Linked DNA regions of Pelodiscus sinensis. The protein of the gene in region 1 purifies or fractionates together with the protein of each later gene. This does not show direct contact. Links are inferred from orthologs where the notes say so. Each region holds a gene or a part of one and is shown in the gene's direction. Other genes may lie near its edges.

The links. The genes of interacting proteins can lie anywhere in the genome.
Region 2: the proteins of RAD9A (region 1) and CLSPN purify together in Homo sapiens (affinity purification with western blotting; 3 studies listed by BioGRID and IntAct, with this or other methods). This does not show direct contact. The link is inferred for Pelodiscus sinensis from reciprocal best matches to the Homo sapiens genes RAD9A and CLSPN.
Region 3: the proteins of RAD9A (region 1) and RFC5 purify together in Homo sapiens (affinity purification with mass spectrometry; 3 studies listed by BioGRID and IntAct, with this or other methods). This does not show direct contact. The link is inferred for Pelodiscus sinensis from reciprocal best matches to the Homo sapiens genes RAD9A and RFC5.

The regions. Positions count from the first base shown.
Region 1 is NC_134714.1:127,077,591-127,087,474, reverse strand, and holds the start of RAD9A (cell cycle checkpoint control protein RAD9A), read left to right. Parts: upstream 1-5,378; 5' UTR 5,379-5,534; intron 5,535-7,842; 5' UTR 7,843-8,009; coding exon 8,010-8,043; intron 8,044-8,318; coding exon 8,319-8,389; intron 8,390-8,665; coding exon 8,666-8,800; intron 8,801-9,381; coding exon 9,382-9,496; intron 9,497-9,864; coding exon 9,865-9,884. UniProt on the Homo sapiens protein: Component of the 9-1-1 cell-cycle checkpoint response complex that plays a major role in DNA repair. The 9-1-1 complex is recruited to DNA lesion upon damage by the RAD17-replication factor C (RFC) clamp loader complex.
Region 2 is NC_134735.1:7,480,699-7,491,434, reverse strand, and holds the start of CLSPN (claspin), read left to right. Parts: upstream 1-6,700; 5' UTR 6,701-6,847; coding exon 6,848-6,859; intron 6,860-10,736.
Region 3 is NC_134725.1:10,997,485-11,007,822, reverse strand, and holds the start of RFC5 (replication factor C subunit 5), read left to right. Parts: upstream 1-6,302; 5' UTR 6,303-6,425; coding exon 6,426-6,487; intron 6,488-8,942; coding exon 8,943-9,007; intron 9,008-10,338. UniProt on the Homo sapiens protein: Subunit of the replication factor C (RFC) complex which acts during elongation of primed DNA templates by DNA polymerases delta and epsilon, and is necessary for ATP-dependent loading of proliferating cell nuclear antigen (PCNA) onto primed DNA.

The DNA.
Region 1 (9,884 bases):
GCCTGCCAGCCCCTGCCTCTGGGGCAGCCTGCCCTTCCTCCCGCCCCAGCCAGTTAACCCTGGAAAGTCCCCGGTCCTGGGACCTGGTGCACTGAGCCCTCTTGTGGCCTTTTTGCCCACAGCGCTGGCAAGTTAGGCTTTGGGCTGTCTCTGTCCAGGCCCTGGCTGGTTCTCTGGGGCGCAGACGACCTGTTCCTTGGTCTCGCCCCGTAGTTGACTCCCTCCGTCGCTCAGCCGAGATCCGGTCTCTGCGCGGTTCCCTTTCTCTCCGGGACTCCCGTTCACACCCGGACCGGCTCTCCGTGAACTCATCCGCCAGTCTCCCGGCCTCCTGGGGGTTCTCTGGTCTCCGGTCCTTGAGCCACAGCCTCAGTTTGGGTGGGCACGCTGCATAGAACTGCTCCATCATGACCAGCTTGAGCAGCTCCTCTGCAGTCTGGGCTCCGACTCCAGACACCCACTTGCGGCCGTATTGCGCCAGGCGGGAGGCCAGATCCACATAGGTCTCCCGTGGCCCTTTCTGTACCCCCCGGAACTTCTTCCTGTACATCTCGGGGGTCAGCCCGAACTTGTGCAGCAGGGCCTCCTTGACTCGGTTGTAATCCCCGGGCTGTAGGTCCTCCAGCTGACTGAGCACTCCGGCCGCCTCCTGGCTCAGTGCGGGGATGAGCTCCTGCAGCCAGTCAGCTGGGGGAACCCGTTGCAGTCCACAGGCCCTCTCAAAGGCACTGAGGAACCCGTCTATGTCACCCATGTCCTTCAATTGGGCCACCACGGGCCTCTCCAAGCATCTGGCAGTCCTGGGACCCTGGGGCCCATCCGCACTTGGCGCAGCCGGTGCCCCGCCGGTTCTCCGCTCTGCCATGGCCAGCTCATGCTGCCGCTGCCTCTCTCGATCTTGGCGATCCCTTTCTCGGTCCTGGCGGTCCCTCTCTCGGTCCTCTACTTCCAATTCCTTGATCCGCAGCTGGATCTCCAGCCGCCGCAGCTCTGCTTGGCTGGCCCCTGCCCTAGATGGGCTGCAGCTTGCAGGCCTCCTGGGGGAAGCTGTCTCATCTCTCCTGTGGGTTCCAGCGCTCCTCCCCCTCTCTGAGCCTGACACACTCTCAGGGGGGGTCTGGCTGCTTCCCATGGGGACAAGATCCTGGCCCTGTGGCTGGTCGTTCTCTTCTAGCTGAGCAATCAGCTGGGCCTTGGTTGCTTTCTGCACAGGCAAGCCCCTCTCTCTGCACAGCCCCACCAGCTCTGCCTTCAAGAGTCGGGCGTAGGCCATCTGCCCGCTGGGCCCCTCGGTGCAGACTCACCAGTCTAGTGCTGCAGCGCCCCACGATTCCCAGGAACCGCTTCGCTCTGTCTCCAGCACGCCTGGCTCCAGGGCTCTTGCTTCTACTGCGCCTTGTCGCTTGCCGCTGGAAGCTCCATCCACGGGGTGCAGTGCATCCCACTTCTGACACCAGTGTGACGGCGCGTTGGGGGTTCCCCGTCTCCTGCACCCCGAAATGGCACAAACAGACTGCACCAGCCAGTGGAATTGAGGGTGGTTTATTGCTCCTCCAGCACAGCGCAGCACAGATGTAATCTGGTTACAGGAACTGGGCTAGGATGCCTCAGGCCCCCTTGAGATGGGGGAGACTGGGCCCCTAAACTCCAGCCCCTTCCCCTAGGCTCTCCTCCATGCCCTCCGACAGCCAGCAACCAACTCACTAACTTCCAGCCCTGCCCCCCAGCCAAGGCAGCATTCCACCTTCCTTTGTTCCTCTCCATGGGGGGTGTCTGGCCACTGGTTTGCATAGTGACTCATCCTGTTTTGCTGGGTCGTGGTACCCACGGCAGCCAGTGGGGGTTCCCCCAGAGCCAGCAGCATAGAAACCAGCCAGGTACCCCCACTACGTCACACCCTGCATGAATGAGAGGGGGGAGCAGTGCTAGGGAGCAGGGGGTGCTGATCCTGTGTGACTGCCGGGACAGGGAAGGGCTGGGGAATAAGCAGGGCTGACCTTGTATGAATGAGGACTGGGGGAGCAATGATGGTGGCACTTGAGAGATCTGACTCCGTGCGAGTGGCTTGGTTGGTTGGGAGCGCTGCAGTATGTTGACATTCCCATATTCACACAGGGTCAGTCTTCCTCAGAGGGGTTATAGATTCTCCTTGACCTAATTTAAGGGCTCCACAGACTTATGTCCCCCCCCCCCCCACCCGCCCCCTCGCCTAGTGCAAGCTTCCCATGTGTCTTCTCCAACACAGGATCTGGGAGGTCAGGAGAGAGGAGGGGAGGGGTGCACATGGCTTTGGACACTGCAGAGGTGTGTGTGTCACGATCCCAGCCAGCTGTGTCCTATCCACAGCCCCATAAAACTCTGAGCCCCGAGGCCAGAGATCCTCAGGGGATGCTTGCTCCATAGGAGCCCGGCTGCTTTTCAAGAGCTGGAACGGACACTCTAAACACCAAATCTAGTTCTTCTGGGAGGAAGAGGGGCTGTGCCAAGAGTCCCTTCCAGGGGCCACTAATGTCCAATTCTTCTCTTCCTTCTGAAGGCTAAACCAAGAGCCCACTTCATAAGCATAGCGATGCAATTCTCATTCTTTTCCTCTCTGCAGGACTGCACCCAGAGCCCATTCTACAGTAGGCACAGAAATCCCATACATAACCAGTCCCCAACATCCACAATCCTAATGGGTACCACCTAAAGAGCTTGCAGCAGCCTCAACAGAAAAGCCAAAAAGTTACTGTTCCAGACAGTCATTAGGCTAATTCAGGGATGGTGGGGACTTAATCCTCCAGCTTCTCTGGCTGTACCTGTTCTAGGAGATTCAGAGAGGGCTCTAGACTCCAGGGCTGTGTCTACATTGGCCCCTATTCCGTAATAGGGATGCAAATGTAGCACTTTGGAATAGGCAAATCCGTGGGGGATTTAAATATCCCCCACGGCATTTGCATTAACATGGCTGCCGCTTTTTTCCGGCTTGGAAGTAGGAATAAGAGATCCTCTGAAAAAGAGCTTATTTTCCGGAGGATCGCGTCCAGACTGGCGCTTTTCTCCGGCTTATCTCCAAGCCAGAAAAAAGCGGCAGCCATGTTAATGCAAATGCCACGGGGGATATTTAAATCCCCCACGGATTTGCCTATTCCAAAGTGCTACATTTGCATCCCTATTACGGAATAGGGGCCAATGTAGACACAGCCCAGGGCTCTCACTTCTACGGTTCATCTCCTCCACCATCCCTCATGTCCCACACACTTAAGCAACACACCCTAAACATATTAACCAGAGAGAGACATTTTAAAAAAGAAAGGAAATGAAACAAGGTGGGAGAGAAAGGAGGGTAAATGCTTCACAGACACATATTTATGACTCAATGGATTGTGGGACCTAATGCTACCATTTTCTTCTTGGAATAAGTAGGGATGTCAACTTGTAGTGGACTATACGATTAACTGATAAGCTTAGGCAAACCCCTAAGATAACAAGCTATACATCTCTCCCAGCCTGGACTCAGTTTCCCTCCCCTATAAAAGCACTCTCAGAGGTCTGCTCACACTAAAAGGAACTTTCATGTACAGCTGCTGCAAGGGGATATGAGGCTACCAGGGCCATATGCTCCCAATGCCTGGAGTCACAGAAGGGAGGGGACAGAGTTGCAGTTAGCAGCAAGAAGTACCTGTAGCATAAAAGCCCTTTTGTGCTGCACAGAATGCCCCTTGGAGAAACAGTCAGAACTCCCATTTCTCAGGGAAACAAAACTTCTGGTTTGCCCCATAGATTCAGCCCAGTGACGGGTTAGAGAACCAGCTGCTAATCTGGCTCACACAACATCAGCAGGATGGTTAGCTCTGCCCAAGGGCTCTTGGTTACACTTGGGCAAACTAATGAAGGCAAAGGGGTTAGGGTTGTGTGGGACTCACCCAGGGGCAGGACTCAAAGGTGAGGAAGGGGAAGGTCACAGGACAGATGGGGTGTGGACTGCACATAGGTCAGGCTGTGGCCAGCCAAATCATTCTTGCTGGTGGTGCTACAAGGCTGGGAAGTCTTCAAGCATGTTCCTGGGACATACGAGGCTTTTGTGTCACTGAGATGAGTACAGGGCCCCACAAGGCGGGTTTGACAGCCACGCACCAGAACAGAGCTGCTCAACTAAACATAATTCACCTGTGCTGGGTTGGGGGAGGCTCCACGATTCTGCTCAGCTGGGGCACAGGGAGGGCGCTGCAGCCTGGCAGAGCATCCCGAGCTGGGAAGGTGCTAGGAAAGCCCTTGCAAAGGTTCCTCTTGGCCTGATGCTCCCTGGCCTCATCCTTATATCCGGACGGGGTGCCAGTGTCAGGGAATGGCTGAGCGCCGCCACAAAGAGGCAGACTGCGGTTGCTCTTGGCGATCACAGCCTCCAGCAAACTAGGGTAGCAAGTCTGGGGGCCTGGGGAGGGAATCTGAGTCCTGAGTCTCCAAGCGCAGGATGGGGGGGGGGGCCCAAGGGAACAGACTCAGGAAGCAGGGAGGGTACTCTGGTGGGGGGGGCAAGTGTGGTTTTGGGAAGACAGCCCAGGCCATGGGGTGTGTGGGGGTGACTCTGATATGGGGCAGGAAAGGAGCCTGGGCCTAGTGTGAGCTGTCTGTGGCCTTGGAAGGGGGTGTCTGGGGGAAGGGGGGGGCTGAGCTTGGGGGGGGGGGAGGATACAGACTCTAGTGAAAGAGCTGTGAGGGCTGGCAGGGGCAGGACCTGGGCTGGGGGGGGGGGGCAGGGGCAGGACCTGGGCTGGGGGAGGGGGGACCATGGGGTAGGGGCAGGACCTGGGCTGGGGGAGGGGGGACCATGGGGTAGGGGCAGGACCTGGGCTGGGGGAGGGGGCATGGGGCAGGGGCAGGACCTGGGCTGGGGGGGGACCATGGGGCAGGGGCAGGACCTGGGCTGGGGGGGGGGTCCCATGGGGCAGGGGCAGGGCCTAGGCGGGGCAGGGGGTCCCTGAGGGGATCCCAGGTGAGCAGGGCAAGACCTGCCCTGCGGGGGTGGCAGAGGCAGGCCTGGGCTGGGGGTGTCTGAGGGGAGACGAAGGCGCCTAGGCCGAGCTGAGGCTCTGGATGGACCCCGCTACGTTACCTCCCACATTCGAAGCCCCATTGGCTGGTAGTTCTGTCCCTCTATCGGCCCAGCCAATCAGCGGCGTGCGGCTCCTCCAATGGCAGCTGGGGACGGGTCCACCCGGCGCAGCGGCCTAGGTGACGCGGGGACAGCCACAAAGAGGCTCCACCCCGGGAGTTCCAATGCTCGCTAAACCGGCGCGGCTCCTCCCCGGAGACTTTGTCACATGACGAGAAGAGCTGGCTTTCCCCCGCCACGTGACCCGAGAACCAATAGGATGCGCTAAAAGGCGACGCAAGGCAGGGCTCGGCCAATGGGAAGACGGCTGGAGGAGAGGAGGCGAGTGGCGGCCGGGCGCGGCAATTGTGGGGGGTGCTGGGCGAGACCATCAGGCACAAGTGCTGTCTCTGCAGGATCCCCCGCGTGCATCAGGGGCGAGGAGCGACCCCCGGGCCAGGTGTGAGGGGGCGGGGCCACGGTGGAAATGGGCGGGGCTGTAGTGGATGGGCGGGGCCACGGCAGGGACCTTGCGTGGGGTGGGACGGGACGGGGTGCCAGGGGGCAGCATGTGGGGTGGGACGGGGTGCCGGGGGGCAATGTGTGGGGTGGGCCAGGACGGGGTGCCGGACACGTGGCAGGGGTGCAGCTTGTGGGAATAGGGCCTGACAGGTACCAGGGAGGCAGTGGGTGGTGGGGAGGACTCGGTGCTGCAGAGTGTGTTGATGCTCCCAGTAGCTGCACAACTCCATTGGCAGCAGCATCTTCCCTTGGATTTCTGTTTCCTATGCCGGAGAGCAGCTCTAAGGCTGGAGCGGCATCAATAAGCCCTTCCGAGCCCTTTGGATGGGAATGCACAGGGAGAGTAGCAGAAACTGGCTTTTAGGGCTGCAGGCACCGGACTAACAAAAAGAGCTATCGCCTGGGCATCCCAGCTGTGTCTGGCCTTGGTTCCCAGTGTGGTCAGTGATCCGTGTCCAGCTGAGGACTTAGGGGAGAGGTGGGCAAAACAGCACGAGATGTTCAGTCTCACTAACCCAAGCAATAGATTGATTGGCTCAGCACATCCTTAACATCCTGTTTAGACAGCCACATCACAGTGACTAATGCATCTTCCCACCCCAGGGTGGCTGGTGCCCTGGAAGAGGGCATGCCCAGCTCACTAAGGAGACACTGTGAAAATGATAAGCCATTGTAATCAGCACAGGACATAGAAATGGAACTGGGGAGAGAAGAGAGACTGGTTAAAAGAAAGGCTCTGGGCTGCAAGTTGCAAAATCAGAAGCACAGGGATCTAGGGGTCATAGTGGACCACAAGTTGAATATGAGTCAACAGTATGATGCTGTTGCAAAAAAAGCAAATATGATTCTAGGTTGTATCAACAGGTGTGTTGTAAGCAAAACTCGTGAAGTCATTCTGCCGCTCTACTCTGCACTAGTTAGGCCTCAGCTGGAGTACTGTGTCCAGTTCTGGGCGCCACATTTCAAGAAAGATGTGGAGAAATTGGAAAGGGTACAGAGAAGAGCGACAAGAATGATTAAAGGTTTAGAGAACATGACCTATGAAGCCAGGCTTCATGAACTGGGCTTGTTTAGTTTGGAAAAAAGAAGATTAAGGGGGGACATGATAGCGGTTTTCAAATATCTAAAAGGGTGTCACAAGGAGGAAGGAGAAAATTTGTTCCTCTTGGTTTCTGAGGACAGGACAAGGAGTAATGGGCTTAAAGTGCAGCAGGGGAGGTTTAGATTGGACATTAGGAAAAAATTTCTAACTGTCAGGGTGGTCAAACATTGGAATAAATTGCCAAGAGAGGTGGTGGAATCTCCCTCTCTGGAGATATTTAAGAACAGGTTAGATAGACATCTGTCAGGGATGGTGTAGATGGAGCTTGGTCCTGCCTTGAGGGCGGGGGGCTGGACTCGATGACCTCTTGAGGTCCCTTCCAGTCCTATGATTCTATGATTAAGTGTAGCCAGGACATGTGGGAGGGATGATCTGGCAGCCAGAACCTGGGGCAGCTGGAGTGGCCAGAAGGATCTGGGAGCAGGGCAGGTGGCAAAGGAGACCACCTGGGTCTGTGATGGGATGAGGATGCAGGACAGGCCGGTGCTGGTTGAGACTCAGTGTGCATCTCCCACAGCAGGAACGAGCCCTATTCTATGCAGAGCTGAGGCAGTTGGATGTTGTGTTAGAAGCTGGGGCTCTTGATACCAGACAGGGATTGACAAACCCCAAGGTTGAGAATAGCCACAAAACTGTACAGGGAGTTGGAAGGGACAGTTGGCCTGAGGGCAAAGGAGTGAGCCCCAAGAAGGGAGAGGGGTAAGATTAAGAGCTGCAGCAAGGGGCTAAGAAGGTGCATCTACCTCTCTTGATTCCTCCTGGAGCTTCAGTCTGACAGGGGTTCCTGCTTGGCACTCCTGTGTGGCTGTTAAACAGCTGTCCTCCTTCCCCTCAGAGGTGGCTGCAGGTTGGTGCTGGGTATGGGGAAATGCTTTGGTAGCCTTCAGGGGAAAAGAGCTAGGAATGTACTGAGTTGATTATTTAGGGGTGGGGTGGGCCACTGGCCCACAAAAAAATCAGTGAGGGCCACACATACCTGAGAAGCAAAACAAAACCCCAAAAACCCACCTCACTGACCTGACTCCCAGCAGGTTTGGGGCTCACACTGCAGCCCTGCAGGCTGGATCCAAGTAAGCCAGGGACCAAATCTAGCCTGCGGGTGGTAGGATCTTCATGACTGATTTAGGATGTGGTCTCTCTCCAGCATTTTCTACTTATTTGTCCCTGGAAGAGGTCCCTGTGCAGCGCCGGAGGTAGACTCTCTCCATCACCGGGCTGGATTATCTCAGGGTTCAGGGCGCTGTGATTGGAATGGGGGTTTGAAACCCGCCTGCAAGGGTGGGGAGAGCCCATCTGCATCACTCTGTTGCCATGAGGTGCCTTGTTACCGGGGGCAATGTCAAAGGTGAGTGCCGGGCTACCATCTGGGCATGGGGTGGGGAATGGGGCATGTGGCAGGTACCAGCTCCCATCTGGCCCCAAGGCGGGGGGGGAGTGGCTGGCTCAGCAGGGGGGGGAACGGATCAGGGGCCTTTCCCTCTAGGAGGCACTGGCTGCAAATGGCTGTGTTTCCTGCCTCAGAGAGCTGGAGTTAAGGGGAGTGAGGACAAGATGGGGCTGGACCTGGGGATACTAGGTGGAGACAGGCCCTGGGTCACAGTCTCTCTCTTTCCCCCTCAGTCCTCGGGAAAGCTGTGCATTCTCTGTCCCGCATCGGAGACGAGCTCTACGTAGAGCCCACGGAGGACGGGGTAAGGGTGCAGCTCTAACCAGTGGGGGTGGGGGCACTGTTCTGATCCGAGGGGGAGGGGAGAACTGAAGGGAGAGAGCTTCCATCAGGGTTTGGGGGTTATTTATCGCAGGGCTCCTAGGGGAGTAAGTTGGGTCACCCTGGTTGGTGATGGAGCTGGCTCTTCCCTGAGGAGCTGCTGGGGATGAGGTGCTGGGTGGTGACAGGGCAGGCTCTCTCCTGGTAAGGGTCGGGGGGAGAGACTGTTTAATGAAGGGGTTGGCTCTCCCTTCCACAGCTCTCTCTACGTGCTGTCAACTCCTCCCGCTCGGCCTACGCCTGCTTCCTGTTTGCCCCGCTCTTTTTCCAGCTTTACGAGGAGGGGAGCCCAGACCCCGATGGGGAGACCTTCCGCTGTAAGGTCCTCATGAAGGTGAGGCTGCTGTGTGGGGCATCCAGGACAGGTTTCATTGGGGTGCCCGGGGGCAAGGCACAGGAGTAACTGGGATGTGGGGAGTCCTGCAGAGGGCCCTGGCTCGATTGTCTGTGTGTGGGGCTGGGCTCAGTTGCCCAGGGAGAGCTTTCTCCTAGCAGTTTGTCCCTGGTCTCTGTGTCAATGATGTGGGACTCTCCGTGGGGTGCCCTGCAGGGATCAGGAGTGGTGACTCTCTTCACCCTTGGCAGTGAGTGTAGCTGGCACGAGGAGGGGGGAGCAGGTATCAGGGGCTTGTGACCACCCTGTTCCATGGAAAAGAATCCTGGTGGGAACTGGGACTTCTGGGTTCTTTCCTGGGTTACAGCAGGAGGGCTGGGAGGCAGGATTCCTAGGTTCTTTCCCTGACTCTGGGAGGGGAATCGGTGTCTTGTGGTTACAGCAGGGGAGCCGGGAGCCAGGGCTCCTGGATTCTGTCCCCGGCTATGCTGGGTGGAGCTGCTCCATGAGGCTGTTTCCCCAGCTGTGTGGCAGGCAGTGAGGGTAGTGACAGGGTTGGGGGTGTGTCTCTCTCCTCCCAGTCCTTCCTGGGTGTGTTCCGCTCATTGCCCTCGCTGGAGAAGACGGTCGAGAAGTGTCTGATATCCCTGAAGCCCCGGGCCAGCCGACTGGTCGTGCAGCTGCACTGCAAATATGGTGAGTGCCGCCCTGTGGGGGCAAGAAGAGGCATCTAGGAAGCCCCATTAGTGGAGGGGGGTGGTGATTGGGGAGCCCTCCACTGGGAGGGATCATCTCAATAGTCAAGCAAGGGAGCCTGGATTGAGGCCTGGGGCCAGCGGACCTCTACCCACCTAGCTCCCAGTGCGAGGTACCAGGGAGCAGAAGGGACGCGTGCAGGTGGCTAGGGATGAGTGAAGCTTGGAGGGTGTGGAGGAGGGGCAGACCCCTGGCCTGGTTCCCTACTGAACACAAGGCCGGGCTGGGGAGGCGCATTGCGCAGGCTCCGGGTCTGCTGATGGCCATGATGGGGGATCCCTGAGCCGTTGTCCCTGTGCCCTTGGCAGGCGTCACCAAGACCCACAAC
Region 2 (10,736 bases), on another chromosome or scaffold:
AACCCATAGGTCCAGCCTCAAAGCTCTTCATGTGAGAATTTCCTTCTACCTCCAGAAACCCTATATAATGCAGGGTATTTGTTTAACCTAATTGCACACTATATAACCTCCCACTGCAGAGCAAATTGTATTAATTAGATCTTCAGATGCTTTGAAGAGATGAAAATTATACTAAAAGCCATTCCAAATTTGAACTTTGGTTTCTTGTCAACTTTGCAATAGAGTCACATCTTAACGAGAACAGCTCATTTTTGTGCAAGTTCACAGTGTTCTGGTAAGCGCAATAATTTTTCTTTCCAGAGTTAATGATTGGTTAATATCCAACAGCTAATAGTTAACACAAAGAAATGGATCAATAATAATCATGAGATGTCACTCAGAATTTGGCTGGGAAGTGATCACTTTGGAATTGGGTGATGCCTCTAAAAGTTTGGTCATTAAACACTAAAAATACATCTACATTGCAATGCTATTTTGGGATACTGGAATATATCAAAATAGCTATCCCGTGTCTTCACAGCAAGTCCATTATTTCGGGCTTGCTATTCCGATGTACCTATAAATCTCATTCTATGAGGAGTAAGGGACATTTTGGAGTAGTGCTTTATTTCGAAACTTGGTGCTGTGTGGACAGCACCAAATGACAAAATAAGCTACCGTATTTCGAAACAGCATCAAAATAAGATACACAAACTAGATACAAAACTGTATTTGAATAAAGTTTAAACCCTGTATTGATTATGACCACAAATCAGGACTTCTTTGACTCCCATTTAAGCCTCTAGCATAGCTACTAAGTTGTTTACACGGCTTTCTCATTTTCCTGTTGAAGAGTTTGCTTGGAGATCTGATGTTTGTAAGGATACATCTCCACTGCATTGCAGTGGTACTTTAACCTTAAACGAGAATATAATTAGATTTTATATGAACATCCTGATTCAGGCCATGTTTCTCTACAGCGATACGGCTGGCGTAGCTATTATTTAGTGAGTTGGAGAGATCTGTGACAACTTTATAGTGGGTGTGTATTCACAGAACTCCATCTGCCTAGCTCCCAGCCTGGAGCACAAATACCAACTTTGGCTTCAATCTTACAATGAGCTGTAGGCTGGCAGAAATCTGTGTGGCTTCATGTGGATACAGAGAGTCTGCCATTGACAGAGTGTGGCCCTACAGAGCACATTGTAATTTATCTGGATACCTTGGTGGATTAGATATTGTTATTTGAAATTTAACAAAGCCAGGAAGCAATATATATATGTATTGTTTATTTGCTATCATTTCAAAGGCATTGCTCATTTGGTAAACTACACTCTGGTGTGGGCTATGCTTGTTTACATTCTTCCTTGTTTAGTAATTCTCTCTTTTTTTAACCACTTCACTAACTTCACTTTTTATGCACAGGGCTGCCAACTTTCTGAACAAGTGAAGGCAAGCATTCAACACTGCTAGTAAAATTCTGAAATACCAGCCTCCTTTCACCACCAGGCGAAATATGGATCTTGTGACTATAAACTTTCTATTCAGTGATTGAGCTTCCTGAAAGGCAGAAGGTTGTGGGTTTCTTGGGCTATTTAAAAACAGAAGCCAAAGGGTGTTTCCTGGGTTGTGAGGAAGTAGCTGCACTTCGCGTATGTTGGAATTACAACTGGTTTACTCTCTGATGCTGGAGCTCCCTCCTGTGCCATCGTCCACAACCATCAGTGTATGCACCCTTTAGGTCCCACATAAGCCCTAATTTGAGGTGTAATTGCCACCCCGCATGCTCTTCCATTGCTACAATATTAATAATAATAATTCATAATAAATAATTAGTGTAACACTGAAATATATCTGCTGATTTGATGTCACCTCCTTTCCTTCATCTGCATTGTTGCCTGTTTATACTAAACATTGTCATGGGCAGGGAGTCCTGTCTTTTCACCACTCTGTAAAACAACATACATACATCTCTTTATATATAAATAATACTAGGAAGATATAAGGCTGGAATACAGCTGAGCCTCCCTTGCTGTAACTATGGAACACTCTCTTGAAGAGTGTTTGATACAAAGATTCCCTAGGCATCTACACAGCTCCTTTTTGCGCAAAAACCTCTTGCGCAAAAGCGGCCCCTAAATAATTATGCAAATGAAGCGCAATAATATACTAATGTGTGCTCTATTTGCATAGGCTTGTGCACAAGAAGTAAGCAGTATAGATGTAGCCATTAGCATTTTACAGGCATCTGGCTTGGTGCAAGTAAAGCAAGCTAGATATACCAAAGTAAATGTAGAAGGCCCTTTTAGTGGCTAGGGAAACTTGGATGAGAAATGATCACATGCCACATCCCTCCACCTCTATGTTCTAGCATGTACTCCCACGCAGTACAGAGAATCATACAGCCACGTTATCTCTGCCAAAAATGGCTAAGCAAATAAACCAGAGCCTAGTACTACAAAGGTACTTGGGTGCCTATGTCTCAGGTTTAGGTACCTGTAAGTCCTAGTTTTCCCTCCACTGTGATCCACAAAACAACTCCTCTATAGCATCTAAGTTTTCAGGGAATACTGACTCTCTAGCCCAGTGCTAAGGCCCTAGGTCAGTTGCCCTTCTCTAAGCATCCACAGTGGAACAGCTTCAACAGGAGAGACTAAGGAAGTCCCACACCAGATTATCCCAGAGCTCAGGAAGTCTTCTGAGAACTAGGAATTGAATAGGGGTCTCCTTTCCCCACCCCAGTGGGAATTGAACCTGAAACCTCACAGCTGAGAAGAAGCACTCTAACATGATCTCCTCCTCTTCCTCCATCCTTTTCCTGTAGCTCAAGGGCAGCAGAGTAGCTAACTCATCTCCATAACAGGTGCCTAGGCTGCCTGACTCTAGGCAGCAGCTTCCCAGTAATGGATCACTAAGTAGCTACAGTCAAAACTTCAGCTATCTTTCAGAGAAGTGGAGCTTAACACACACTGTCATCAGTTTAGGTCTATAGTCAATAGAGTGCTGGCTTTTGTGGATTGCATTTTAAAATGATAGTCTCTCTCCTTCCCTTCATTGTATAGAGAGCCCAGATGTCTATGTGTGCAGCTGTGTGGGTCACAGTGTTGTTCCTATGATTTTTGAGGCTCTTAAAAGATAGGCACTGTGACGCCTTGTCTACACTTACCTGTGCAGTTGATCTACTTCACATAGTGGAGCTGAAGTTGACATACTTACCACAGCGTCTTGCGTGAGGTAAGGTCAGGGGGAGCTGCTCTCCTGTTGATGCTGGCTACATTTCTCATCTTGGTGGAGTATTGGCATCAGTGGAAGCACACTTGGAGATCGATTTATTGTGTCTAAGCAGACATTGATTCCCCACGTAATGTAGACAAGATCCAAATCCTTTTGTAGATCCAGGCCAAGATGTGTCTGCAGATCAGCTGGCATTCCCAGTGCACAGCTGCACTAAGGCTTGCCAATGGCTAGGTTATCTAGTTGATTCTACATACTTTTGTAAGACAATGAATAATTTTGCATTCGCATGCTGACCTGTCAGTGGGTGTCTCTTGAATGAACTGATTTTGTGGGTTAATGTGCCCCATGTGTCTCCTAACTGGCCTATTGCAGAAGAAAGTTCTCTTGAAGAAATCAATGAATAGGCAGATCTGCTGTATCTAATCAGATTTCTTAATTTTAAAACTTTACAAATGGACCTGAGCTTTCTGAAAATTGTTCTGACCATATCATTCTAGGAATCTCCTTTTGTGTCCCTGTTACATTGTAAAATAAAAGTAACACCAAGAATGAATTTAGACCAATATTTGAAAACCTACAGTACACCGATGTACTAATGTACTAACCATGATTAATACTTTGTGAAGCTTGCTTGGTAGGCTTTGGTTGTCATCATTTTACACTCTCATGAATTCTGCAAATTTTTAATTTTGAAATTCTTAAGTGTTGTTTTTGCTAAATGTTAGCACAAAATTGTATTTTGCTGGCTGAGTAATGGCTGGCTGATCACTGTTGTGTTGAGGAATCAGAAAAAGTAAGTTATTTATTTTTGGCTTTATAAGCATGTACTTAAGTATGTAAAATTGCTTTTGAACTGCTTGTTAAATTCAACCAAGTACATGTGCCTTCATGTTATATAATTGATTCAGCTGCATTCTCAGGATTTTAAATGTCAGCTTCTGTGACTACATGCTTTTCTTTTAGTCTAAAAATGCTTTTGTAATGACTTTGCTGATGAGTGTGCACCACTGCTGTCCGCTGGATAAAATGAGAACTGATGTGTATCATAAACCCTGTATTGCTAAGAGCTAATAAACGTTTTCCTTTTGCTCGAGAGGTTGCAGCATTTCCTTGTGGAACACAGTTCTCTCTCTGCTGCCACCATTAAATTCCCTTGGCCATGGTATGCAGCATAGTGACAAATGGGAAATCTTAATTGGCCACAACAGTATTTACACTCTGTTGAAATATGTATCTCTATCTGCAATTACGTCACTTAAATAAAACCATTTCAGCTACTAACTTGGTTCTTGCCCACAAAGTGGCTTTTACATAATTACCAATGTAATTTGCAGATCTGTCAAATTCATCAGGCAAGCAGAGCCATCAGTATAGTTTGTAAACCCAGAGAAGAAATGTGATTATTAATTTTTGCTCCTAACAAAATGTAATGCACAGACCCATAACTGTTGAAAACCTCGCTCCCAGATACCAAACAGGATTGATTCAAATAACTGATACTACAGAAGCTGCAGAAAGTGAATTTAGTAACAACAGGGCTTCCATGTAATAGATTAACCAAGGTGCAATACTAGAATATATGTAATCCAAACATAACGGTATTGTCCTGGGGCATAAATACCCCAGAATTTACCTTTTTAGTGATAAGTGAAACAAAACAGAATTTACCTTTTTAGTGATAAGTGAAACAAAACAGATATTAAACTCCTAAGCCTTATTGTCAACTGTTATTAGATGTCCTTCCCCCGCTAACAAGAGAACGTATTTCCTTCACCTCTCTTGCTAATGTATTTATAGAACCTTTTCTTATTACTCTTTATGGCCCTTGTTAGATGTAACTTATTTTGTGCCTTAATTTTATCCTTATATGTTTGTATGGCTTCTTAACAAATTGTCCATGTTTCCACTTTTTGTAGAATTCCATTTTTATTTTTAGATTGCTGACGAACTCTTGGTAGAGCCATATAGATGTCTATAGAGTTGACAGAAGAATGATCACTGGTCAATTTATTGTGTCTATTAACACCCGCTGGACAATGTTCCCACTAATATTTTCTATCCATGTGCAGAATAAATTTTATATGCACCAATGCATTTGCAAATATGCAACACCAGCTAGGGATGTTAAAATTAGATTAATCAACTGTTCAATTTGTTGATAAGGGCGCTTCTGCTTTGAAATGTAGCAAGAGCGCTCCCGGCTATTGCTACATTTCAAAGGTGGAAGTGCTGCACAGCGTTTCACCTTTGAAATGTACATAGGGGATCTTGTGCATTTCAAAGATTGAAATACCACATGGAGCCTGGGGCCAGTGGGGGACTCTGAATCTCTCGCTGGCCCCAGGATCCCTGCAGCGCTTCTGCTTTGAAATATACAAGAGGGCCAGTGGGGACTCTTGCACATTTCAAAGGTGGAACGCCCCCGCTGTGCTCTTGTTCCCTCCCATGGAGCTGGGGGGAACCAGCTTTTAAACCAGCTCCCCCCAACACCCACACCTCTCCCCTGTCTTACTGCCCCTTTCTGACAGAGGCAGCAAGGTGGGGGGAAGCGACAAGTCAACTAATGTGTCAACGATCTGATAAACTTTTGCTTATCGGATAGTTGACTAATCAATTAGTCATTTACATCGACTAATCGATTAGTCATTTAGTTGGAATTGGTCCTGCCTAGAGCAGGGGACTGGACTTGATGACCTTCTGAGGTCTCTTCCAGCTCTATGGTTCTATGGTTCTATGATCCCTACCACCAGCAGACACAAAAACCTAGTGGGTGGGGGCTCTGCTCGTCAGCAGGGCAGCATTTGAATCTCTCCTGAGCCGCGGCACAGAACCCCAGCTTCCAGCGCAGGCTGCGGCCCCGTCGAGCTGACCCGTCGCGCAGTCCTGCCCTTCGAGGAGTCCAGTTCAAGAAGTCGAGGGGCGACGCACGCAGGTGGGGGCGGCTGTACGTTGGCAGCAGGCTGCGCGGGCAGAAAGAGCAGACGCCGCCCGGCACTGGACTGGAAGGGGGTCTGTCCTGCTTGGCTCTCCACAGCGGGTTTAGGACACAGGGCTCCAGGGCGGAGAGGATGGGGGGAGGGGGGGGTCCAGCACTAGCAATAACATTAGCACAGGGCCCTTAAGAGTGGAAGGCCCCTGTGAACTTGGGGGGGCCCCCAGAGGGAGGCCCAAACCAGGCAGCCCCCAGCATGCACTGCGGCCCCCATCCCATTTGGCCAGGGTCACTAGCCCCGAGTTGCGTGATGTGCGGCTAGAGCGGCTCAGGCCCAGCGGGCCCCTCTATCCCTTCGGAGCAGACGAGGCGATGAGCGAGCCGGGAGGGACTTGACAGCGGTGAGGCGCCAATGGGATGCTGGCACAGCCGGGGCCCCCCTCAGGCTCAGAGCCGGATGGCGATTGGTTCGCAGACCTGCAAGGCGGGCCAGTCATCCACTAGGGAGCCGAGTAAGGCGGAGGCTGAAGGCAGAGCACGAGCTGTGATTGGTTCGAGGTGGGGGGCGGGGCTAGCTGCTGCAGAGCGCGAAGAATCGAAGGGGTTTCAATCGCTGGCGGCGGCAGCTGAGGAGACCTGGGGACTCCTGAGGGGCAGCCAGCGTTAGGGGTGCTGCCCACCACCGCGCAGCCTGGGGTCATGGCGGCTGAGGTAAGCTCTCCCGGCCTGCATTGACGGCAGGCGCCGAGAGGGGATGGCGGGGGTGCAGTGACCCCTGTCCCCTCTCTGTTGAGTTTCCCGCAGCTGGCGGGGACTACGACTCCCAGCATGCACGGCGCGTAGGCGGCGCGTCCCAGCATGCACTGCAGTCAGTGGCGGCGAGAGGTCTCAGCCTGCCTTGTGCCCATGTAAGGACTACACGTCCCAGCGTGCCCTTCGGCACACTGAGCTCAGCGAGGCGGTGGCCAAGACGTCCGTGGTGCTCAGCCATTTCATACTATGGGGGGGGGCCCTCTGCAGGAGGCTGGGCTGGTGTCTCCCGCAGGTTTCACTGCTCTGACAAACGACCTGTGTGCAGTCTCAGACTCAAAGGCTAGTTGAGACTGGCATGATTTTCCGCAAATGCTTTTAATGGAAAAGTTTTTCCGTTAAAAGCATTTGCGGAAAAGAGCGTCTAGATTGGCAGGACGCTTTTCCGCAAAAGCACTTTTTGTGGAAAAGCGTCCGTGCCAATCTAGACGTGCTTTTGCGCAAAAAAGCCCCGATCGCCATTTTCGCCATCGGGGCTTTTTTGCGCAAAACAAATCTGAGCTGTCTACACTGGCCCTTTTGCACAAAAGGGACTTTTGCCCGAACAGGAGCAGCATAGTATTTCCCCAAGAAGCACTGATTTCTTACATGAGATGGTCAGTACTCTTGCGGAAATTCCAGCTGCCAGTGTAGACAGCTGGCAAGTTTTTCTGCTTTTGCGGAAAAACTTGCCAGTCTAGCCACAGCCAAAAATACAAACCTGGCACAGAAATGTTGCTGACTGTCCTGCTTCCACTGCATTGTCAAATGTGTTGGGCTGTAAATATTGCAGTGCGCTGTATAAATAAGTTGCATCGACCGTTAGTTTGGAGTGACTTTTCTGGTGCTTTTTATGTAGCCTGTTGTAAAACCAGGTAAATATGTAGGTAAGCTGATGGACGCCTGAAAGATATCTGCACATCCCTTCCCCCGAAGTATGTGTACCGCTGGTTGAGAGCCAGGTCAATGGTTCTCTTGTGGTGCGGTCAGTGAATCTGAGATTCCCGGCGTAACTGGGGGCACCATAAATATGCTGTCCTCGTGACCCACACTGGATAACTAAGGTCCTCCTAATGGGATGGGAATTAAGAATGTTAAGTAGTGAGTAAATGACTAATTGTGTACTCGATATAATGTGTGTTGAGTACATGATTAGTTGATAAAAGGTCACTTGGGTTATGCAGTTTACATGTAGTAGGTGCTGGGCGTGCATAGCTGCAGCGAGGGTAGGTCTGGTACCCAGCATGAGCCAGGCCTGGACTGCTGCAGCTCTGCCTTTTAAATGTAGTAAAAGCTGCCTGGGTTCCACTCTGTGCCTCTGGATTTTAAATGTAGCAAGAGCCAGGTACCTTTTACTATATTTAAAAGGCAGATCTACAGTACTGCTGCATCTTTGCCTCCCTGCCCACCCTCCCCTCACCATGGGGAAGGAGGGAGCCAGCTTTTAAGCAATGTAAAAAAAATAGTCGTGTCGACTACTTGCAATCCCCTCCTTGCTGCCTCTATACCAGAGGCAGCAGGAGGAGTGTAGAAGCAGGAGCCAGCTTTAAAAAGGATGAGGCTTTTTTTTTTTTTTAAATAACCAACAAAGCTATCCAAAGCACAGGACTTGGTGGTGTTGGGAAACTTCAATTATCTAGAGATCTGTTAGGAAAACAACATAGCAGAGCAGAGATTATCCAACAAGTATTTGGAATGTATTGGAGACATTTTTTTTATTTCAGAAGCTGGAGAAAGCTACTGGGGAAGGCTGTTCTGGTTTGATTTTAACAAATAGGGAGGAATTGGCTGAGAATTTGAGACTGGAAGACAGCTTGGGTGAAAGTGATCATGAAATGACAGAGTGCATGATTTTAAAGAATGATTGTAGGGAGAACAGGAAAAAAAGACAGTGGATTTCAAGAAGGCAGCTATAGCAAATGCAGGGAGTTGGTAGATAAGATCCCATGAGAAGCAAGTCTAAGAGGAAAAATAATTGAAGACGGTTGTTTTTCAAAGAGAGGTTAGTAAAGGCACAAGAGCAAATTATCTCACTGTATACAATAGATAGGAAGTACAGCAAGAGACCATGCTGGTTTAACCTGGAGATCTTAAATGATTTAAAAATAACAAAAGGAGTCTTACAAAAACTGGAAACTGGGTCAAGTTATAAAGGATGAATATAAACACATAACACAAATATATAAGGGCAAAATTAGAAAGGACAAGGCACAAAATGAACTCAGACTAGCTAGAGACATAAAGGATAACAAGAAAACATTCTACAAATATATTAGAAGCACAAAGAAGAGCAGGGACAGGATCAGCCCGTTACAAAAAGAGGAAAAAACTAACAGAAAATGTGGAAATAGGTAGGGATATAACCAGTTGACTGGCCTGTCTGGAGCAGCCCACAGCATGGCGGGCCTGGCTGGGATGGAGCAGTCAATCATCCAAGGGGTGGATGGGTGGGCCTCTCCAGCTTGACTGGGCCCTCCACACCATGCTGTGGGTGGGTGAACGGGCAGGCGGGGGCTGCTCCAACCCAGTCGGGCCCACTGCACTGCAGACAGGCAGGGGGCAGCTTCAGTCCAGCTGGGCCCATCATGCCATACCATGCCTTGGGTGGGCAGGAGGACCAGCTAGGGCCCATCATGTCACACTGAGGGCAGGGGAGACCATTCCAGCCTGGCTGGACCTGTCACACCGCAGGATCGAAATTAAGTGGTTAACCAGTTAAATGTTAACCTGTTAACTGATTAAATGGGATTTTATATTCCTAGAAAAGGCAAAGGTGCTTAATTACTTCTTTGTTTTGGTTTTCACCTATAAGGTTGATCCCTAACATAACCAAGGTTGATGCCTGACATAGCAAATGCTTGTGAAAAGGTGTGGGTTCAGTCGCTAAAATAGGCAAAGAACAGTTAAAAATTACTTAAATTAGATGTCTTCAAGTCTCCAGTACCTCATAAAATGCATCCTAAACTACTCAAGGAGCTGACTGAGGAGATACCAGTGCCATTAACGATTATCTTTGAAAATTCATGGACTACAGGAGAGGTTCCAGAAGACTAGAAAAGGGCAAATAAAGTGCCCATCTATAAAAAGGGAATAAGGGTATGCCATGGAATTATAGACCAATCAGTTTAACTTCTGCGCCAGGAAAGATAATGGAGCAAATAATTAAGGAATCCATTTGCAAACATCTAGAAGATAATAAAATATGTAACAGTCAGTATGGATTTGTCAAGAACAAGTCATGTCAAACCAACTTGATAGCTTTCTCTGACAGGATAACAAGCCTTGTGGATAAAGGGGAAAAATTGATGTGGTATATCTAGACTTTATTAAAGCATTTGATACAATCCTGCTGACATTCTAATTAAAAAGCTACGAAAATACAACTTAGATGGAGCTCCTAAGGTGGATCCTATGCATCCTAAGTTGGTTGCATAACTGGTTGGATAACCATTCCCAGATAGTATTATCAATGGTTGACAGGGCATACTGAGTGGGGTTTTGCAGTGGATTAGTGTAGGGACCAGTTCTGTTCAATATTTTCATCAATGATTTAGATAATGGCATAGAGAATACACTTATAAAGTTTGCAGATGATACCAAACTGGTAAGGGTTTGCAAGTGCTTTGCTGGATTGGGTTATAATTCAAAATAATCTAGACAAACTAGATAAATGGTCTGAGGTAAATAGGATGAATTCAATTGAGACAAATGCAAAATACTCCACTTACGAATAGGGTTGTGAAAGTGTAACCATGTACTATGCGGTTACATTCAGGTTCCCAGTACATCTGCCATCTGT
Region 3 (10,338 bases), on another chromosome or scaffold:
AGAAGCTCATGGTTTTTTGGTAGGGAAGTAGGGGATAGGCATGCTGGGTCTGCAAATTCTCATCCAAGAGCTGAGTACAGGGATGCCTCAATCCCTGGGGCTGGCCCTACTGAATCTGAGAGATTTCAAGGCGACACCTCAAACTCTTCTCCCATTTTTTTGATGAAACTATGAGTCAACTGCCTGAGCCTGCTAACACCTCTATAGCCCCTCCTTGTGTACCACCCCCTGGACCAGCTACCCCTCCCATGGACTGCATCTCTCACCACCCCCCACTCCTCCAGGACCATCCAGTATCAAACCCAGGACCAGTGCCCAGATTTGAGGGATCCCCCCCCCCCACCTTGGATTAATTTCTCACCCACCCAGCATCATCCAGTGCTGCCCCTTGGGCCAGTGCCCCTCAAAGGAGACCTCCCCTCCCTCCCCCCCACCATGGGCTTCATTTCTCACTCACTCCCTGCGGAATTGTCCAGCCCCACTTCCTTCATCCCCCTACAATCCTTCCTTCCCCCTCACTCACCCCCAATGGTCCAGCCCCACCCCTCCACAATCCTGCCCTCCCTTCACAAACAAAAGGAAGTTTTTCTTCACTCAGTGCACAGTCAGCCTGTGGAACTCCTTGCCAGAGGATGTGGTGAAGGCTAGAACTTTAACAGGGTTCAAAAAAGAGCTAGATAGATTCATGGAGGTTAGGTCCATCAATGGCTATTAGCCAGGATGGGTAGGAATAGTGTCCCTAGCCTCTGTTTGCCTGGAGGGGGATGACAGGGGAGGGATCACGTGAGGATTACTTGTTGTGTTCCCTCCCTCTGGGGCATCTGGCATTGGCCACTTTTGGCAGACAGGATATTGGGCTGGACGAACCTTTGGTCTGACCCAGTATAGCCGTTCTTATGTTCTTATGATGAAAGGAAGGTTGCTGGCCAGTTCCAGGCAAAGGGGGCAGCATGACTGGCATGCAAAGCTGGAAGCAGGAACAGAGAAGAAAAGATAATATGCAAGGGGGAGTTAAGTAAAAGCCAAGTTCAGAACCATCATGTATATTACAATATATTTTACAACTGAAATCTATATCCACTCAATGCTCTTTGGAATACCCTAGTGGCACTTCAGTGTTGTCATCTGTTAATTACAATGGGTTCTCAGGAAAATTAATTAGATTTGCTGAGTTCTGATTGGAATGATTGCTTTTCCCTACATGTTTTTAAAGAAATAGCTTGTTTTGGAGAAGTACATTATCTTAATATAATTGTGTCATTTCACCCAAATCATATTACACTGAGATATTATGTGACCTACAACCTGTTTCAAACCTTCATGAGCTGTGGGGGTGGAAAAACCTTTAATGTTAAATATCAGGCTCCAGTGCCAATGATAACAAATATACATTGGAGGCAGATACAGTGCAATAGCACTAAGCCTATCATTACAGAAGATTTAATAATGGGAAAAATTGTTTGTGCCCTTTTTTGCTTTTTTTCATTGTATTTTATTTTTGAAGATTGAAACTCCTTTCTTGCATATTCCATTTTTCCTAAGAGACTATGACCTGCTGGGATGTTGGCATATGTATAACATTAGAGGCACCAAGCAAGAAAATTGATTAATAAAAAGGAATATTTTATTGAAATTGTTTTGAACTCTGGGATGCTTTATGGTTGTTTTTTAACACCTTTAACACACATTTGAGAGCAAAACCTCTTTTTTTTGTTAATAATTCAGTTTGTCCACCAATACAACTAAGGCTAAGAAACTCCAGAGCCCACATCTCTAAATGACTGGAGTCCACCAGCAAAAACAGGAAAAATTAAAACAAAAAATCAGAAATGTCAAGTTTTAAATTAATAAAAAAAAAGATTATTTTCAATAAAAAGGAAATTCATATGCTAAGTCTTCAGGCCTCCATTATACATCACACAGAAGAAAGGGGCATATTATTTTTTTCTGCTTTGTGCTCTACGTGCTGTTTGATTTACATTTGGAACTGTGCATTGTTTGTGATCATGATTTAAAACACTTAAAGTTTCATAGTCTCCCATTCTTAGACAAACTAAGTGACTCACTCCGCTCTTTCCATTCTCCTTTCATTATGCTAAAGATTTAAGGATAACCTCTCATCACACTAAAATGTTTTATAAGAGATCTAACACAATCTTGCTTTTTGCAAGATTGGAGTACACTGATTTCTCCATATACCGGCATGCCAATATCGTCCCATTCAATATTCCTTCCAGCTTAAGCAGATGATGAGTTCCAAATATGTACGTGTGGATAATGTTTCGTGACTAACAAAAATATGCCACTCAGGACACTTATAACTTTGAATTAAATAACTGGGGATGTGTTCAAGATAATCCTTTTACCTATTGCTCCCTGTCTCCAAAAAGTGAAGTTTTATTCAAATTATTTCAAAAGCAAGAGCTCTTAACAGTTTTTTTTTCAGTGTTACAAAAGGCAATTTAACCAATTAAGGCTCACAACTGGATCCCAAGGGCCTGCAAAGCCCCATGGGTAATTCCCAGGGGCGCTAGAGCAATTTTTATAAATAGGGTACTGACGATGGAAACCACATATTTGGTATTATTACTTCAAAACAGGGAGTGCAGGAGTACCTCTAGTTCCAGCACACCGGTAATTCCCCCTGAGCCGGTGCCTGCACGCCATGTGATGGGAGCTCACTGCAAGACTGGGGCAAAGTATTTCTAGGGGTCCAGACGCTAAGAGGAGGAAAATCAGCATAGTTTCCAACATTTCCTGTTCTGGTGACAGGGCCGTCCTTAGGGTGGGGGAAACAGAGCAGTGGCTGGTCCATAGGGTGCGGGGCTACACTCAGGGCTGCAGGGGCAGGAGCAGTGTAAGGAGGCGTAAGTGTGGGAACTCAGGGGCGCTGCAGCACCCCCACCTTTACGTGGATTCCTCGCTGCTGCCAACCCCACATCCCGGGTCCGGCTGCTATCCAGGGCTCCACCACTTGCCCTGAACCTCAGCTTCCAGCCCTGTCTGGGTCCCTGCACCGTGAAGTGGAGTGGATAACCACGGACTGAGCACAGCCCGGGGTGGAGGATGGCTGCTGGCATCAGCACTGCCCAGCACCTTGTGGTCCCCTTTTGCAGTGGTGGCCTTAGGCCAGTGGTTCTCAAACTGTGGTCCTTGGACCACCACCTTCCAGGTAGTCCGCAGCTCAAGGTCAGCCCCGTCCTTCCCCCCACTTCCTGCCTCCCTCCTTCTCCCTGCAGCAGGAAGCTTGCACTGGCTCTCCAGCCTCGTGCTCTCACTCCCACCAGCAAGGTTGGTGCATCACTGCTGAGTTTCCTCTGTGGTGGACGGGAAGCCCTGAGCCTCCCTGCCAGATTATGGGGAAGAAGTGGAGCCGGAAGCAGCTCTGTGCACTGACACTCTCCCTCCCACTTCTTCAGCTGGGGAAACAGCAGTGCACAGCCCCTCTGCCTGCAGGCTTTCTCTGCTGCTCCAATTGGCCGGATTGACTGGGAGCAGCATGGCGCACAAAAGCAAACAAGTGCTCTTTCTTCCCCTCATGCCCAGATCCTGCATTCTCACCCTGCTTCTGCACCGCTCCCCACTGAGACCCCGTATTACCAGGCCACTCCTGCACCCTTCTCCCTGGCCAGACACCCGACCACCAGCCTTCTCCTGCACCCTCTCCCCTGGTTAGACACCCTTCTCCCCCACCCTACTCCTGCATGCTCCCTTGCTCTTGCACTCTACCCCTGGCCAGACACCCTCAACCCGCTCAAGCACCCTCTCTTGCTCCTGCAACCTTCCTCCTGGCCAGACGCCCAGCCCATGGTAATCCCTGAACTGCAGTCTTCCCTGTCCCTCTCCTTGACCCCATGGGGCTGAAACCCCACAGGAGTGAGGTGTCCCAGTTGGGGGCCACATCAGTGAGGGCTGGGGGGTTTTGGATGGATTTGTTTTGCTTTTCACTTGTGTGGTCTCCAACTGATTTTTCTGTGGGTTAGAGGCCTCTGAGCCAAAAACAGTTCCTCACCCCTGCCAAAACATTGAAACCTTTTGTGTTGAACATAAAGTAATACTTCAGAGGGGTAGCCAAGTAGTCTGTAACAGGAAAAACTTTAAAAACAACAAGTAGTCTAGTAGCACTTTATAGACTAACAAAACATGTAGATCAGGGGTCTCCAACCTTTTTAACCACAAGATCACTTTTTTAATTTAAGAGCCATGTAAAATCTACCTCAAACCCAAATAACCTTGCCCCGTTTTCTTCCAGCCCCTTCTTTGAGGCCCTACCCCTTCTTCACCCCTTCTCCGAGGCCTCACCCTCACCCTGCTCACTCCATCCCCCTTCCTCCCACATCCTCACTCTTTTTCACCGGGCTGGGGTCAGGGGTTGGGGTGAAGGTTCTGGTCTTTGGCTAAGGGATTTGGAGTGTGGGAGGGGCTTCGGGCTTAGCCCAGGGTGGGGGATTGAGGTCCAGGAGGGGTTTCAAGGTGCAAGCTCTGGGCTGGGACAGGGTTTCAGGAAGCAGGCTCTGGCTGGGCACCGTTTAATTGAGACAGCTTCCGGGTGGTGGAACAGTGGGGCAGGGCAACCGGTCCATATAGGCGAACTAGGTGGTCTCCTAGGGCACCAAGTTAAATGGGGCACCAAATGATGGCACAATATCATTGAGGGGTTTGGAGGTGGGGGCGCTGATTGCATGGTTCGCCTAGGGCGCCAGTTGCTTGCAGCTAGTCTAGGGCCGCCCCTGCAGTGGAGTTAAGGCAGTCTTACTCCAGTCCTGGCCCTGCACCACTCCTGAAAGCAGCTAGCATGTAAAGCAATGGCTCCATGCTGCCCCTCATCACAGGCACTGAGCCCACGGCTTCTACTGGCCACAGTTCCCCATTACTGATCAATGGGAGCTGCAGGAGTGGTGTCTGCAGGCAAGGACAGCATGTGGAGACCCCCTGCTCTCCCTTTCTCAGGAGCTGCATGAACATGCCAGCCACTTCCAGGAGCAGCAATTCCCACAGGGGTAATTACTCCAGCCATGACAGGTTAAGCATTTTAGAACTCACTCCTCAAAGAAATACATTTAAGCATAAGAGAGAAATGAAAATTATGAAATGAACAGACTAGTCAGAAACCAAAAATAAAACACTTCACAAAGAGTAACAGAAGTAACAACAACCCACATTTCTGTTAGGTTGGGAGATGTGAGTGAAGGGCAGTATGTGTTTGTGAGAATGATAGAGACACACATTGTGTGAGAGTGACAGAGATTTGCACTGCCAAGCTCCCGCCATCCCCTTCTCTCTGTGTGGAGACAGGGTACAGGAGTGGGGGGAGGAGGGACACTCTGACATCAGCACCCCCCATCCTCTCCCTCCCACATCCTGCACAGCAAGAAAGAGGCTCCCAGGGGGACAGCTCCAAGGCAGCCGGCAGGAGCAGCATAAGTGTGGGTGGAGGAGTAACTGGAGTGACAGTGCTTGATAGCTTCCTGGCCAAACCAGTCAGGATCACCTGTCAGAGGCTCCAAGCTCTACCAGTAGATCCTGATCTACTGGTTGGTGACCATTGATGTAGATGGTATCACAAGGTTGTTTTTCCTTTATAAAGTAATTCTGTAATTTATTTAAAATGAAGTTTAATAAACTAACATAAGAAAATTAAAACATTTAATTAAAACTCTTTAATAATTTAACATTTCCTTTCTTACTGGTTAAGGTTAAATCAAACCATTCTCTCTACCTCCAGCACTAGCAAAATGACTCAGGCATAATTATGTAATTAATGGCGAGTTTCCATTAGCAACTGGTGGTCCAGGGAAAGGTTTGCGTAGAAACATGTGAGGTTTGAAAACCACTGCCCTAGGTGTACATAGCAGGCACTAAAAGTGGGGCTTCCTGCCCTACAGTGCTGAGGATTCAGCATATGCCTAAGGATGGTGATTTTGTCAGGTTTTGTGTTCCTTCAAGCCCCACCTCCAGGATTCAGGCGACTCTCATTTTTTTTTATTATTATTATTATTAACCAAACAAGCAAGCTCCTCCACCTATGGTTGCAGAGGAAAGCTGCAGAATGCTTGGGAGAATGCTGGCTTAAGCCAAGCGCAGCGCTCAGAAGGCCAATCCACTGCAGCGGTGCTGGAACTAGGGGCACTCTTGCACCCCGGGGGCCTGCTGTGGGTTCCAGCCATTGCAGCTCAGTGCAAGGATCAGTGGCTCGCTTGCCCCGCGGGCCCAGCACCAAGGTGGCCGCGCGCTCAGCACCTGGCCCGAAAGCCACGTGCGCAGCCCCAGCGCGCGCGGGCAGCCGGGGAAGGGGAGGGGCGGGCAGCCGCGCGCTCTCGCGAGGCCCGGGAGCTGTTTGAGCGCGAGCCGCCGGGCTCTCCTGCTGCCCCGGGCGCGGACTGAGCGCCCCGCTGCAAAGGCGGGGAGGGGGCGCGCGCGGCCCCATGGAGTCTGCAGCCCCCAAGCAGCCGCCGCCGCCCGCCGGGAAAAGCAGGAACCTGCCATGGTAGGAGAAGCACAGAGCCTGGGCCCAGCGGTGCCGCGCAGCTGGGGTCGGGCCCGTCCAGCCCTGCCCCCCCCTCCCCCGATGCATGCTAAAGGGGGGGTTGGGTCCCTGCATCCCCCCTTTTCCCGCCAATTGCACGCGGGAGCTGGCATGGGGTGTGCAGGGGAGCTAGGATCCGCGAATCCAGCCCCCACTGTTGCATGCAAGAGCTGGCATGGGGTGTGCAGGGGAGCTAGGATCCGCGAATCCAGCCCCCACTGTTGCATGCAAGAGCTGGCATGGGGTGTGCAGGGGAGCTGGGATCCGCGAGTCCAGCCCCCACTGTTGCATGCAAGAGCTGGCATGGGGTGTGCAGGGGAGCTGGGATCCGCAAATCCAGCCCCCACTGTTGCATGCAAGAGCTGGCATGGGGTGTGCAGGGGAGCTAGGATCCGCGAGTCCAGCCCCCACTGTTGCATGCAAGAGCTGGCATGGGGTGTGCAGGGGAGCTGGGATCCGCGAATCCAGCCCCCACTGTTGCATGCAAGAGCTGGCATGGGGTGTGCAGGGGAGCTGGGATCCGCGAGTCCAGCCCCCACTGTTGCATGCAAGAGCTGGCATGGGGTGTGCAGGGGAGCTGGGATCCGCGAGTCCAGCCCCCACTGTTGCATGCAAGAGCTGGCATGGGGTGTGCAGGGGAGCTGGGATCCGCGAGTCCAGCCCCCACTGTTGCATGCAAGAGCTGGCATGGGGTGTGCAGGGGAGCTGGGATCCGCGAATCCAGCCCCCACTGTTGCATGTAAGAGCTGGCATGGGGTGTGCAGGGGAGCTGGGATCCGCGAATCCAGCCCCCACTGTTGCATGCAAGAGCTGGCATGGGGTGTGCAGGGGAGCTGGGATCCGCGAATCCAGCCCCCACTGTTGCATGCAAGAGCTGGCATGGGGTGTGCAGGGGAGCTGGGATCCGCGAATCCAGCCCCCACTGTTGCATGCAAGAGCTGGCATGGTGGAGCAGCTATGGCGTGGGGTTAGCTCCCTCTCCCCGCCCCCTTGCCCTGACTGCATGGAGGGCACAGCTCAGGCTATACAGCCCTGGGTTCTCCCTTCCTGTTTGCAACTCTTGCTTGCCCTCCCTCCCCTTGTGTCTCGTAGTTACAGGCTGCAGGCAGATGCGCTGCAATGGAGTATTCATTGCAAGGGATGAAGCTCGGTAAAGTTCAGGTTGTAGGAGAGGCCTAGGATAGCAGTAACAGCCGTTCCTAAAGTCAAAATAACTCCATGCCAAAGGGTTATGCAAATTGCCCCGGACTGTCCTCTCACCAGTGCTGGCACGGGGTAGGAAGTAGGATATAGCCCGCTTTTGTCAAAAATAGTTCTCTATGTCTTGCAGCCTTAGGAAGGGTCTGCCTCTCCTCCCCTTCCCAGATCTGGGGAAGCCACTCCTTCCTGAAGTGAGAAGAAGAGATGTTGGGGAAGGAAGGGCTGGCTTCAGATTCTGAGTTGGTGTAAATTGGTTCATGCTAGTTTGTTTCTCACCTGGTCTGATCTGGTGTGCCCTCCCCTGCCATCCATCTCCCCTGAGTAAATCAACAACCAAGTCTTTTATGACTTCAAATGCCATGTTCCTCCTGGGAGGTGGATCCCTGTATGTGGGGCAATTTGTCCAAAGTCAGCTGTTCCCTAGGGATTAATAGAAATAAGGCTACCCTGCTGTGGTGGCTCAGTGTTCACTGAGCCTGGCTTGCTTTACACTCAACACAGAACATCTGTTTAATAAAACATGGTGCCCAGCCAGTCCTGTACTCAGCCACGAGAGCGCACCTCAGCTGCTCTGTTCTAGTGGGATCATTTGCAATTCCCAACTCAGTTGACTCCAGCTTCTCTGCCCACCACCCGCAATCAATCCCCAGATTAACCCTTGTAAATGCCAGTGTGAAGACCTAGGACTTGCAGAGTATTTTGCGGTTAGAAGCATGGAGTTGGATCTAGTTCCTAAGGGCAGAGTTTTTCTAATTGTATAAGGCATGACAAAACTTTGGGGCATTTAAAGATATTGCAGATGCCAAAAGAGCAGGCTAGTCTTCAAAAGGGAACTTAGTCTCCAAAAGGGAACTGCAGGTGCCTGGATTGGGTTCTCTGTGCTAGGATTCAGCCAGGGCTTGGATTTGGCAATGCCGGAACCTAAGTTTGTGCAGAAAAATTACAAGTTCAGCTCATTTTGTGAGGGTTTTTTTGTCATCTTAAGGGTCAAACAGATCCCTTTGACTTGCAACCAGAACCACAAGGCTAGGTTCTGATGTCAGCCAAATCCAGAGTAGATTGAAGGTGAGTGTTTATCTAGCCTTGTGGGTGATTGTCCAGCATGGGGAAGAGAACAGAAAAATCTCATGTCTGGGACACCTGTTTTCTACACTTGTGAAAAGCCTGAAATCTCTGCTCATCATCTGCATTTATGTTAAAATACCTTTATCTTTAGGGTGGAAAAATATCGCCCTCAGACATTGAACGACCTAATTTCACACCAGGACATTCTGAGCACGAGTGAGTACTTAGTATTACCAGCATTTTTCTTTTGAGCCTCCTTATGGCCTTTACAGACATTAACTCCTGTGATACCTTTGGGCTTGGCAGCTATAATTTCCATTTTATAGATGGAGCCACTGAGGCAAAGGTCATCTGACTTGCCTAGGGTCACAGAGAAACTCAATGGAAGAGGTGGTAGCAGGACTTTGGCAGCAGGACTCCTGACTCCACATTATGTGACGGCAGAAGAGAAGCTGCATTATCTAATGACTGTGGAAACTAGCTTCTTTGCAATGGGTGGCAAGCTTGCAGAAACCAGTTAAATAGTCACTTCCTGTCATGCAATTAGTGATGTGTTGCCATGATTTTAACCAGGGTCTCATCATAAACCCTTTTAGGACATCCATGAGTCTTTTAGGGGGAAACTCTGGTTCTTTTATATGGGATGGTGGCCTAGACTCTGTAATGATCAGTGTGGAATTGCAGAGAGAGATGAAAGGTAGAAGATGCTACAGCTTCTTGGAATTAACCTGCTACGAGGCTGCTCTTTGCACTGGGAATGCCTTTCCTGCCTTCTGTCGTATTTTAGTCAGCTTTTTAGTGTCACTGTTGTAAGGAAAGTCAATCCAGCTTTACAGACTTGTGGAATTCCATGTATGCGGTTTTTTATGGTCCTCAAAAAGACCCATTCACATGTCCTCCTTGGTGTTAGTGGCCACAGATTTGTGACCGTGGGTACCTCAGCCAGCTGGGAGGATGAACCTGTCCACACTAGCAGTTCCCTGAAATTCCCCCGGTTTTATCCAACTCCCCAGCAATGGGCAGGTTGACCCGATTATTCAGCTGCAAGGCTTTCCTGAGGAATGTCTTTCCTTCACATTTCTGGCTAACATGACGGCTAATTAATATATCTGTCTTATACCCAGACACGTTCTAGGGCTGTGTTCTTGCTCCTCGGGGAGATTGTCCTCTTAGCTTCTTTTCCCCTTGAGGTGTTTGTGGCAGTTGCTGCACTGGCAGGCTTCCGAAAGTAAGCTAGGCAGAGAAAAGCAAGAGGCAAAAAACAAGGCCCATGCGCCCTGCTTCACTTCCCTCCATTGAGAGTTGTGTTGGGGAGGTCGGCTGGCTCTGTGGGCAGAGTGCAAGGAAAAGGGGCAGTCGGAATTGTTATAGCCTGCTTCTGAGGAGAGCAGCCCCTCTCTGGAAGAACAAACGAGGCCCATTCCTGCTTGACCCCACCACTTACAACATTCTAGCTCCCTTGGCTTCCATTTTAGGAGGCCTGAGGGAATCCCCAGTATGCACCAGTCACTACAGAGATGAACATGACCACCTCCCCTGCTGGTGGG